Drosophila melanogaster: one gene and its partner. The protein of the gene in region 1 interacts with the protein of each later gene in a pairwise test. Each region holds a gene or a part of one and is shown on either strand. Other genes may lie near its edges.

The links.
Region 2: the proteins of tup (region 1) and abd-A interact in a protein complementation assay, tested with the Drosophila melanogaster proteins (2 studies listed by BioGRID).

What each region holds. Positions count from the first base shown.
Region 1 is NT_033779.5:18,878,219-18,883,108, reverse strand, and holds the start of tup (tailup), read left to right. Parts: upstream 1-1,847; 5' UTR 1,848-2,313; coding exon 2,314-2,452; intron 2,453-4,890.
Region 2 is NT_033777.3:16,825,060-16,830,058, reverse strand, and holds the start of abd-A (abdominal A), read left to right. Parts: upstream 1-1,953; 5' UTR 1,954-2,055; coding exon 2,056-2,924; intron 2,925-3,751; coding exon 3,752-4,008; intron 4,009-4,999. UniProt on the Drosophila melanogaster protein: Sequence-specific transcription factor which is part of a developmental regulatory system that provides cells with specific positional identities on the anterior-posterior axis. Required for segmental identity of the second through eighth abdominal segments.

The DNA.
Region 1 (4,890 bases):
TTTCAATTAACCCAATTAATGGACGGGACCTAATTAAATTTTGAATTCATGTTGCCAGCAAACGCACACTCATCCAGCTGCCTAGTTGCCCCGCACACAGATACGCCGGCACACACACCCTCGCAGGCGAACACACAGACATCAGTCAGCTGTTTTCTGCTGGCCAGCTGTCGTTCGAGTGCGAAGGAGATGGCGCGAAAGCCTCGCAATTCGGGGGTGGTTGGGGTACTGTTGGGGGTGGCAGAGGATGGTGTTGGATGGTAGCAAGGGGGTGGCTCGCTGTAACAAGTATGTACTAATGTCGGCGTCTGGCTAACTGAGACACGGCTATGAATGAGTGCCCCAAACGGAGCAAGCGGGCCACTGAAACTGTAGCTCGATGACCTTGATTATACAACACAGCAGCAGCGCCACCACCCCCCAAACCAGCTCAAACTCTACCAGACCCACAAGCAGCCCTGTTCGCAGCAGGGCCACTCCTTCAAAATACCCTACGTCAAATAAAAATGGCAAAAAAGTAGTCAGAGGCTACAGACACTCGAAAAAATAATAAGGAAATCTAACTAAATTGTACAGTAACACAATATGTTTATGATGTTAAACTTAAAATATTATAAAACTAGATTGTATCTCTATCACATATTCTATATAATTTAGAAATGTGCACATTTAAGTAAAATAATTTACCACCACAACTCATCTTAAACTTCTTCCTGGCCTACAGATAAGCATTCTTCAAAATTGCTTAAACAAGCTTTTCTTCGAGTGCACCCCAAGAGTCGGTGATGGTAACTGGTAACTGACATTACAACAAATCATCGGCCAGCAAATGTTGGCAACTGGGTGCCAAGTCAACGAACTGCTAACCGCAACACAGACACCGACCGCCACCCACTCGAACACATATATAAATTGCCGTACGGGGGCGTCATTAAAATTGCAACAGGGCCTTGAAGGAGCAACAGAGCAACAGGGGGGGAGGGGGTGGAGATTGGAGCGCTCCCCAAAAGACCAGAAGACGAAATCAAAAGATCAATAATTATTATGATGTTGCAGCACACCCGAAACGAGACGCCTTCAGACCGCAGAGCCAAGTCAAGACGGGCAGGTGAGACAAGGGGGGCGGAAAGGGGCGAAAAGGGGAGCCCCAAAAGCGGAGGGGCTACAGCCGAAAAGTTCGACAAGCGCATTACAACAGTTCGGGGGTAGAAAGACAGACGACGGATGAAGAGTGGGGTAGGGTTGGCCAGGGGGGTGCGCTTGCTTACAAGTGCAACCATTTTGTAGTACAAACTTCGAAAACCAAAAGCGAAATTGGCAAAACAAAAGGCCAGCGAAGGGAGCGAGGATGTGGGCCCACCTCCTGACTGCCTCCATTTGTGGATTGTGGATCCCGCAGCCACAGCTGGAGTCGGTCATGCGCACTCCGTCCAACCGATTGGCCCGCTTCGCCGCCATTTAGAAAAGGCCCACCAAGTGGAAGCGAAAGAGATGGGCTTGCTGCCAGAAAAGGACGGAGCGTGAGAGCGCTGCCCGCAGAGCGAGTGCGACAAAAACACCTGTTCCTGTTTCGAACTCCCCCCCCCCTGCAGGCCGTCAGTCCATCGAGTCGGCTATCCGCTATCGGCTATCCGAGAAGTACACGCAGAACTGGCTCGGAACCGGTTGCAGCTGCACCAGTGCCACACCAGTTCCCTACCCTTGCGGAGCGACGAGCTAGTCGCACTGCTCTCGCAGGCAGAATGTATCTGCGAGATACATTTCGGGGTGAGTGGCTGGCTGGCTCGCTAGCTCGCTGGCTCCCTGGCGTGCGGATAACGTACGGCAAACGGAACGAAGCGCCGACCGGTTTAGTCGTTCAGCAGTCTCCGTGCAGTGAGCATGTTTGTGCGCCAGACATCGTCGTTGGTCGGTTGTCGTCATCGCTACTATATAGCCGTCGTATCGCGAACATCGACCGTCTTAGCTCGATAGCCGTCGGATTTGCCTTTTCGGATGCGAGAGACTCTTAAATCCCTCACCATAGATCCAAATCCCTGCGAACAAAACGCGTGTGCGCACACGGATCACACAGCCGTGATAATCCCGCTAAATTCGCCGAAAACCCAGTGCTCTGTGTCCCGGTCTCATATTGAGTAATTCAAGCAAACTTCACGGAATAAGTAAACCAGTACAAGTGCCTTACACAAATATCCCTGCTCAATGCCGGAAACTTCTTGAGTACGGCCCAAAACGAAAAGGCGCCCGCTCTCAAGATTCCCAGCCCACAAATATCTCGAGTGTGCTTCGCCGAGTGTCCTGTCAGCCAAATATATGGTAATGGCAGAGATTGGTGGCCATTTGGCTCACCAGCTACCGTTGCACAATCACAACCACAATCAAACTGGATTACAGCCATCGCTGGTGATGAACCATCACCTGGATTTGGATTGCCATGGACACGATGTGATAAGTGAGTACCGATATTCAAGGGCTGCTGGCTTTCCGATTTCGGGCTATTTGGGCTGCATCCTTGAAAAGGACGATATTTAATACTGGAGATAGCACGATCACTTACCTAGGGACAGTCTTAAAAAAAGAACAATGGAATGCCCTTCCACAGTTTGGATATGAGGCTATTGTATCTTCTAGATACATTTGTTGGTTCTAAGTACTTTCGGTCTGTTTAAGAAGGCATTACAGTTTTTTTCCTTAGTTCCCTTAGATTTAAAATTTGGATTTAAATAAATGTCCTGACAAATAACTTAGAGGCTAATAGGGGTTTAGTCTAAAAAAGCGCTTTGTTGATCCACTGTAAACCAAGATTAAATTGCATTTTAAATCAACCTATTCAGAAATTGTATACCTGCAATTGAAACATCATTACATAGATCACGCATCAGTGTCGAATCATTTGCCGCTAATAAAGCTATTTAAAGCAGTTAATGACTTATTTATGGCTATTGTCCTAGTCCCCAAACAAAAATTGGCAAATTAAATAGTCATTAAACAAGAGCCACTGATGGGTAACTTTCTCGATTCGTAAATATGGAAAATGAACGAGGAAAGCCCGCTTTGGACATTAAAAGCCAATAAAATAAGTAAAAAGCCGTGTTAACAAATGCTCGCACCCAAATCACAGTTGTAAACTTGTCTTGCTTATTTTTGAAACATTTTAATGCCCACCATTTTAAATTCCAGATATCAGAGATCAAGGCTCGGACTCAAAGGTTCCGAGCTTTAAAACCATGAACTGTTAGTCAAGTTTATTTGTAACGAAGGTCGAAGTTATTTTTATACCAAAATCATTAAAAAGTTCAGGCACGCGTTGAACTCTTTCATACCTTGAGTTTTTAATTTTGCCAATGGATGTGATGTGAGCAAGGCTGCGCTAAAGTAATTACAAACAAATTAAAGTGATACCAAGAAAATACGAATCCATAAATAATTTTTATTGTGCCATTCTTTTGTCAAATTGGAGGATCTTTTTTTTTGTATATTGAACGACTTTCTGAGGTTCTATCTTTAGGTTCGGGATTTCTTTCGGGCCACAGTCGTTAGCCGACTTGTCGCTGCAGCTTTTGTAATGGGCTTAGACCCTATCTCGACCTGTCACTTGTTGTTTCAGTACGGCAATAACTGTTAAATTATAGCCGTATTTTATTTTAAGCACACTTTACATATTATATAGAAGCCAATTAACGGTTGAATGACATTTTAATGCTGAGCAATTAAGCGCGCAAGCAAAGCGGGCAAGCAATTGCATGAAAAAAGCTGAAAAGAGCTGGAAATGTATCACAAATGTATCTCATGCGATAATGTGACAAATTTTTAACTAGCCTAAAGTTTGTTAACCAAAATGCATTTTATGAATTCATAAACCAAGAGTGTCATTAAAAAATGCCATCCGTGTGTGACAGAAAGAGGAATATATTTTATTCAAATTTTATTTCGTATGCTAAATTGTGACAAATGTTTTGGCTGACAGTTGTCTAACCAAACGAACGACCGCAGAACACAAAAAAGCCAAACAAAAATTCCGAAAAAAAAAGGAAAACATGAAAAATCATAATCATAAGCACATATACTACATACAATGGGTTCGGGGAAATTGAATTATATATGAGGCTGGAATAATGCAGCACATGCAGTTGTAGCTGCGAATCATTTAAATTGCATTGAATTTTAGTAATTGTAATTTAAATTCAAATTAGTTGTCGGCCATGGAGCGCTGGTAAATATTTAATGTCCGAACATTTTAATTTGAAAACTTTTCACAAAGTTTCCTCCCCATCGCTCTGCTTAGTTGCTCTGTGAGTTAGTTGGCGGCTGACAAAACTTTAAGTTAGAGTTTTCCAGCTTCAAGTTGATATTTGAAATGAAAACAATTTTTGTAGTTTTCGTTTCGTCCCCCCCCCCTCTAGTATCAGCCAGCTCCACTCTCTTTTGTTAGTTCGCTTGGTTCCGAGGCGAGTTTTGTTTGTTTGTTGATTTTTGAGCGCTGTAAACATTTTAATGAGTTTTCCATGTCACAGACCCAGGCCTCCAGTCAACATGTCGTTGGCAACTTCTCAAGTAGTCGTTAAATTAATTAAATATAGTAAAAACAAAAAGAAATCGCCATCTGAAGTATCTGAAGAGCCTTTGTTTACTCTCCGTGCTCTATAGAAAATTATGTAAGTCCGAGATCGCTGCATACATCAGGGCGTTGAACTAGTTTCGGTTTTTCATGTTGGCGGCTGCCATAAAATTGTACCACTTTATGTTGAAGACCATCAAAAATTGACAATTATTTGCGGCCATAAAAGCCAAGCGATTTTTATTTTTATAGTTAACCAATTAGCCAAAAATTTGAATAAAATGCGAAGCGGGGGTGGCACGGATTTTCCCCTTACTCGTCGTACACATGTT
Region 2 (4,999 bases), on another chromosome or scaffold:
TGGCTTTTGTATTGCGCCATAAACGTTTCGCTGCTCGTAACGCCACAACGCTCGACGTTTCGCAGCGGCTTTGCTTTCGCTTCTCTTCTCGCGCGTAAAGCGGTCTCCCCAAAAAAAAAAAAATAGAAAACAAAAAATATAAAGGAAAACCCCCTCCGTAGACAGACAAAACTCAAAGTCTCCAACGACTCAAAGCGCCTCAGTCGCTGCCGCTCTGCCGCCGTTTCTGTCGACGCCGCTGCCCGCGCTGGCAGCAAGAATTACCAATTACACGAAATTTTTATACTCTTTTAAAAATTTCGTTTTATTATAATATTTATTATCGTGGCGCGCAGTAGTGTCTGCGGAACTCAGCTCTCCACTCTTTGGAATTTCGGCCCTCCGATTCCGATTCGGATTATACGATTATACGACTATACGACTGTAGTGCGGCAATACGATTCAGTTTCCGATTCGCCGTGTTTATTGTTCCGTTTCGGCCGCCGGCTTATTGTCACTTAAATGTTATAGATCGCGTAAAATATAATAAAATTGTGTGTGAAATTTAAAACCGAAAAAACTGTCAAAACACTATGGTTTATAACTCACTGTGTGCGGTTCGTAAAAATTAAAAAGACATAAAGTTGACATCGTAAAAAGGTTCTCGCCTCTCCGTTCCAGACTTCGATAGTTCTACCTGCAAAGTGTTTTATGACATTTTAAACAAAGTAATTAAAGCAAAACGTTGGGAGAAAGCATTTCTCCGGCCACACACACACTCACGCACTTGAGAAGTCGTTAAAAGCCGCAGGAAACTCACTCTGCCATAAAAATACAAGAGTGCCATTAAAAAAGATCGCGCGCCTATAAATCACACGTACGAAATCCCGCCGGCACGACGTCCATTCGAATTTCCGCGTAATTGATGACCGCATTTTAATTGCTTTTACAACAAATAAAAGATACACACACCCCAAACACACACATGCGACACACACACTTGTGCCACAGCTGCAAATACAACGCAACCCGAGACCATATGCAAATTTAACAAATTTCGTTGTGAATTCGCCAGCTTCGAGCGAAAAAAGTAACAGAAACAGAAAAGCTGCAAATACAAGCTGCTCGCCAAAAGTTCGCTAGAGAAAACTTGAGAAAGGTAACAAAATGCATTTCACTTCTCGGAATCGAGAAAAGTAGCTTAAAGTCGGGCAGCTGGCAAAGTTTCCGAATTCTGTCTCACTAACTCTATCTAAAAAGTACTAACTGTTGGCCATCTCATATAGTACTGTAAAAGTAACCCACATACTAACTCGTTGGCACTGGCAGGGAAATCTAGCTGAAAAATATATAAAGCATTTGGATTATATATTTTTTTCACTTGAGTTCTGTATCATGCTACCCGAAAGATTTATGTTCAATCCAAACATATTCAATTTGGTTAATGTTCTTTTTATGGTTTCCGAGTAATTTTTATAAACATGTTATATTTTTTGTTTTGCCATTTTTAATTCTTGTTTATCACATTGGACGCCAAGTTTATTTTTGTTTTTAGTACCTTTTAATTCGATTAATTTTGTTAGTGATTTATATACTAAGTCCAATGTAGTTTGCATTCGATTATGAAGTAGAAAAGTTAAATACAGAGACGGGAGATGTTCATTAAAGACAAGTAAATTTTAATAGACATTGATACAAATTAAATTGCTGTGTAAATCTTATGAAAAAGTTAAAGAAAAAGATATTTTTAAAATGCTATTTCTCACAGTGTTGAATTATAAAGTCATTCAAGTTTAAGATTTAGGTTGTGCTTACAGAAGTAGTCGGAACTTTTGTTTTATTATGGCTAGAAAGCGCTCCTCTCCACGCTGAATTCAAACAAAATTTGTTAAAGTCACACAAAGAGGAAACTTTAAATTATAAAACGAAATACTCAATCTAGCCATTAACCAAACGACTCAGATAAAGAACCCAAATCATTCGAACTCAGAAATCTCCGAAACTAAAATAGAACAACAAGTGGACTAAACGAAATTCCGAAGATCCGATCCTCGGCCAGAGAGCAAAATATGTGCAATGTCAAAATTTGTTTTCGATAGTATGCTGCCAAAGTATCCACAGTTCCAGCCGTTTATCAGTTCGCACCACTTAACCACCACCCCCCCGAATTCGTCATCTGCAGCAGTTGCCGCCGCCCTAGCCGCCGCCGCCGCCTCTGCATCCGCCAGCGTTTCAGCCAGCAGCAGCAGCAACAACAACAGCAGCAACACGATCGCTGGAAGCAACACAAGCAACACCAACAATAGCAGCAGCAGTCCAAGCAGCAGCAGCAACAACAACAGTAATCTCAATTTGAGCGGAGGATCCCTATCGCCGAGCCATTTGAGCCAACATCTGGGCCAATCGCCCCACTCACCCGTCTCCTCATCGTCGCCCTTCCAGCAGCACCACCCACAGGTGCAGCAGCAACACCTGAACCACCAGCAGCAGCAACATCTGCACCACCAGCAGCAGCAACACCACCACCAATACTCCTCGCTCTCGGCCGCTCTTCAGCTACAGCAGCAACAACACCACATTAGCAAACTAGCCGCCGCCGCAGTTGCCTCGCACGGACACGCCCACCAGCAACTGTTGCTAACGCCCCCGTCAGCGGGCAATTCTCAAGCGGGCGACAGCAGCTGCTCCCCATCGCCCTCGGCATCCGGTAGCTCCTCGCTACACCGCAGCCTCAACGACAACTCTCCCGGGTCCGCATCCGCGTCCGCCTCCGCATCCGCGGCCAGTTCCGTCGCTGCTGCTGCAGCCGCCGCCGCCGCTGCGGCTAGCTCCTCGTTTGCCATCCCCACCAGCAAGATGTATCCGTACGTGTCTAACCACCCTAGCAGCCATGGAGGGCTCTCCGGAATGGCCGGCTTCACCGGACTGGAGGATAAGTCGTGCAGGTAAGATAGATTGCCCTGTTTAAGTATGGGATAATGCAGATTTTTATAAATCGGGATGGGTTTTATGTCCAATCGTAGTAAAATGATCTTAAATGACCCTAATAGGAAGTGCAAATATAAAGTCAATGACAAATGATCTATACTATCTAATATGATATTCAAATATTTGGAGTGCATTGATAGAACTTCTCAGACAGTATCATATTTTAAAATATATGCAAATTTAGTATGACCATTAGCTTTACCTGGCTTCAAAACCTTTAAGAAGATGTTTCCGGGGTTGAAAATACAAAAAAAAAGAAACACTCAGCTCTTCCAAGAACTAATTTCGCGTGCTCTCAATTTGGCGAGCGGAAATGCCAGTCGAGACCTTCAGTAAAATCTGCAAACACTGCAAAACCGCAAATCCGTTTCGAATGCGCTCTAATTATCGGGTCTCGGATCCTGGGACTCTGTCCATTTTCCTCTCGGCCACCGGCCATTCATATTGAATGGCCATAAAGTCGGAAAATTAGAGCAGCCTGTGGTGGCCGCTGGCAATTTGTCGCCGGCCACAAGATTCGCACGCACGCTGACCTTCCGCTGCGGCCATTTGCATATTAGTACTACTGTATGGGCACTCCATGTGCATGTACAGTGAACCCTGCTGTGCGTGGGCGTGTTCGGGATTAGTGTGCAATTAGAGCTAACCGCAGTTTGGTGAAAGGGGCATGCAAATGGCCACCTCATTAGCATTTGACTTTAGTACGGGCGCTGGAGTTGGGAACGTACTATGAGAGCAGGGATCACCAACAATAATGGCTACTTTCTCTCTCCCACACCCACAGCAGGTACACGGACACTGTCATGAACAGCTACCAGTCGATGAGCGTACCTGCCTCGGCATCTGCACAGTTCGCTCAGTTCTATCAACATGCCACAGCCGCCGCATCCGCGGTATCCGCGGCCAGTGCCGGCGCGATCGGCGTGGACTCGCTGGGAAATGCCTGCACACAGCCCGCCTCCGGCGTGATGCCAGGGGCAGGGGGAGCGGGCGGAGCCGGTATCGCCGATCTGCCCAGGTATCCCTGGATGACGCTTACAGGTGAGTCAAAACTCGATACTCGATAGTGCGGAGATATATTATACATAAGTAAAAAAATAACTGCCAGATTCGGACTCTTTGTGAAAGACTTCGGATCTGAATGTGAGTGCCAAATTTGATAAATCTTGAAAGTTATCCGATTTTTAGAATTGAGAATCACACATATCCCAATACAAGTTTATCACACTGAGCCAATCAATCAGTCTTTTAAATTAAGAGTCTGTCTATCGTATCTACTGTGTTCTATATATCATGCCAATCATTATAAAATCAGAAATAATCCGTGCACTTCAGGGAATGTATATCGTCTTAAATCAAGAATAAATTGCCTTCAAGATCTACAAAGCGATCTCTTAAAATTTTTTGTGTACATATAAATCATGGCCACTTACACTGAAATCAAAAAATCAAATAAAAAATTGTAAGAACTTATATTGGATTGAATTATTTAGTCGCTATGTTAGGTTAAATACTATAATTAAAAAATTTAAACAGCTAAGTTGTTTAACAACCCGTAGACTTAAACCAGGTTCGAACTGATTTACAAATTGTATGACCTAACAAAAAGCGTCCAGTCGAATTATCGAATTAAATTTCCCAAGTGTAGTATTTGGAATGGTTGCTGCGTACCTTTTATAAACAATAGATAAACGTGGCGCAAACGTTCCCCAATAGCATTCCCATTTGCACCGCCATTTCGCCTACAATTCCAATTCGTAATGAACACTTTGCGGAGCACTTCCAAGTCGTTTATTTCGCATAAGTCTTCCAGGCGATTCGAATCCGTAAACGAAATGAACGAAGAGCTAAAAAGTTGGCAGTAAATAAAAATGAAAATAGTTTGAGAAATGCTTCTCTTGTCTGTCGTGTTATTTGGCGTCGATTTGTAATTTAAATAGCCTCAAGGTTGCCCCACACCGACAAACGTATAGCCCAAAATGCCGACCAAAAAACACTGCGATGTGCCCCGCGCATACAAAATCCACATATC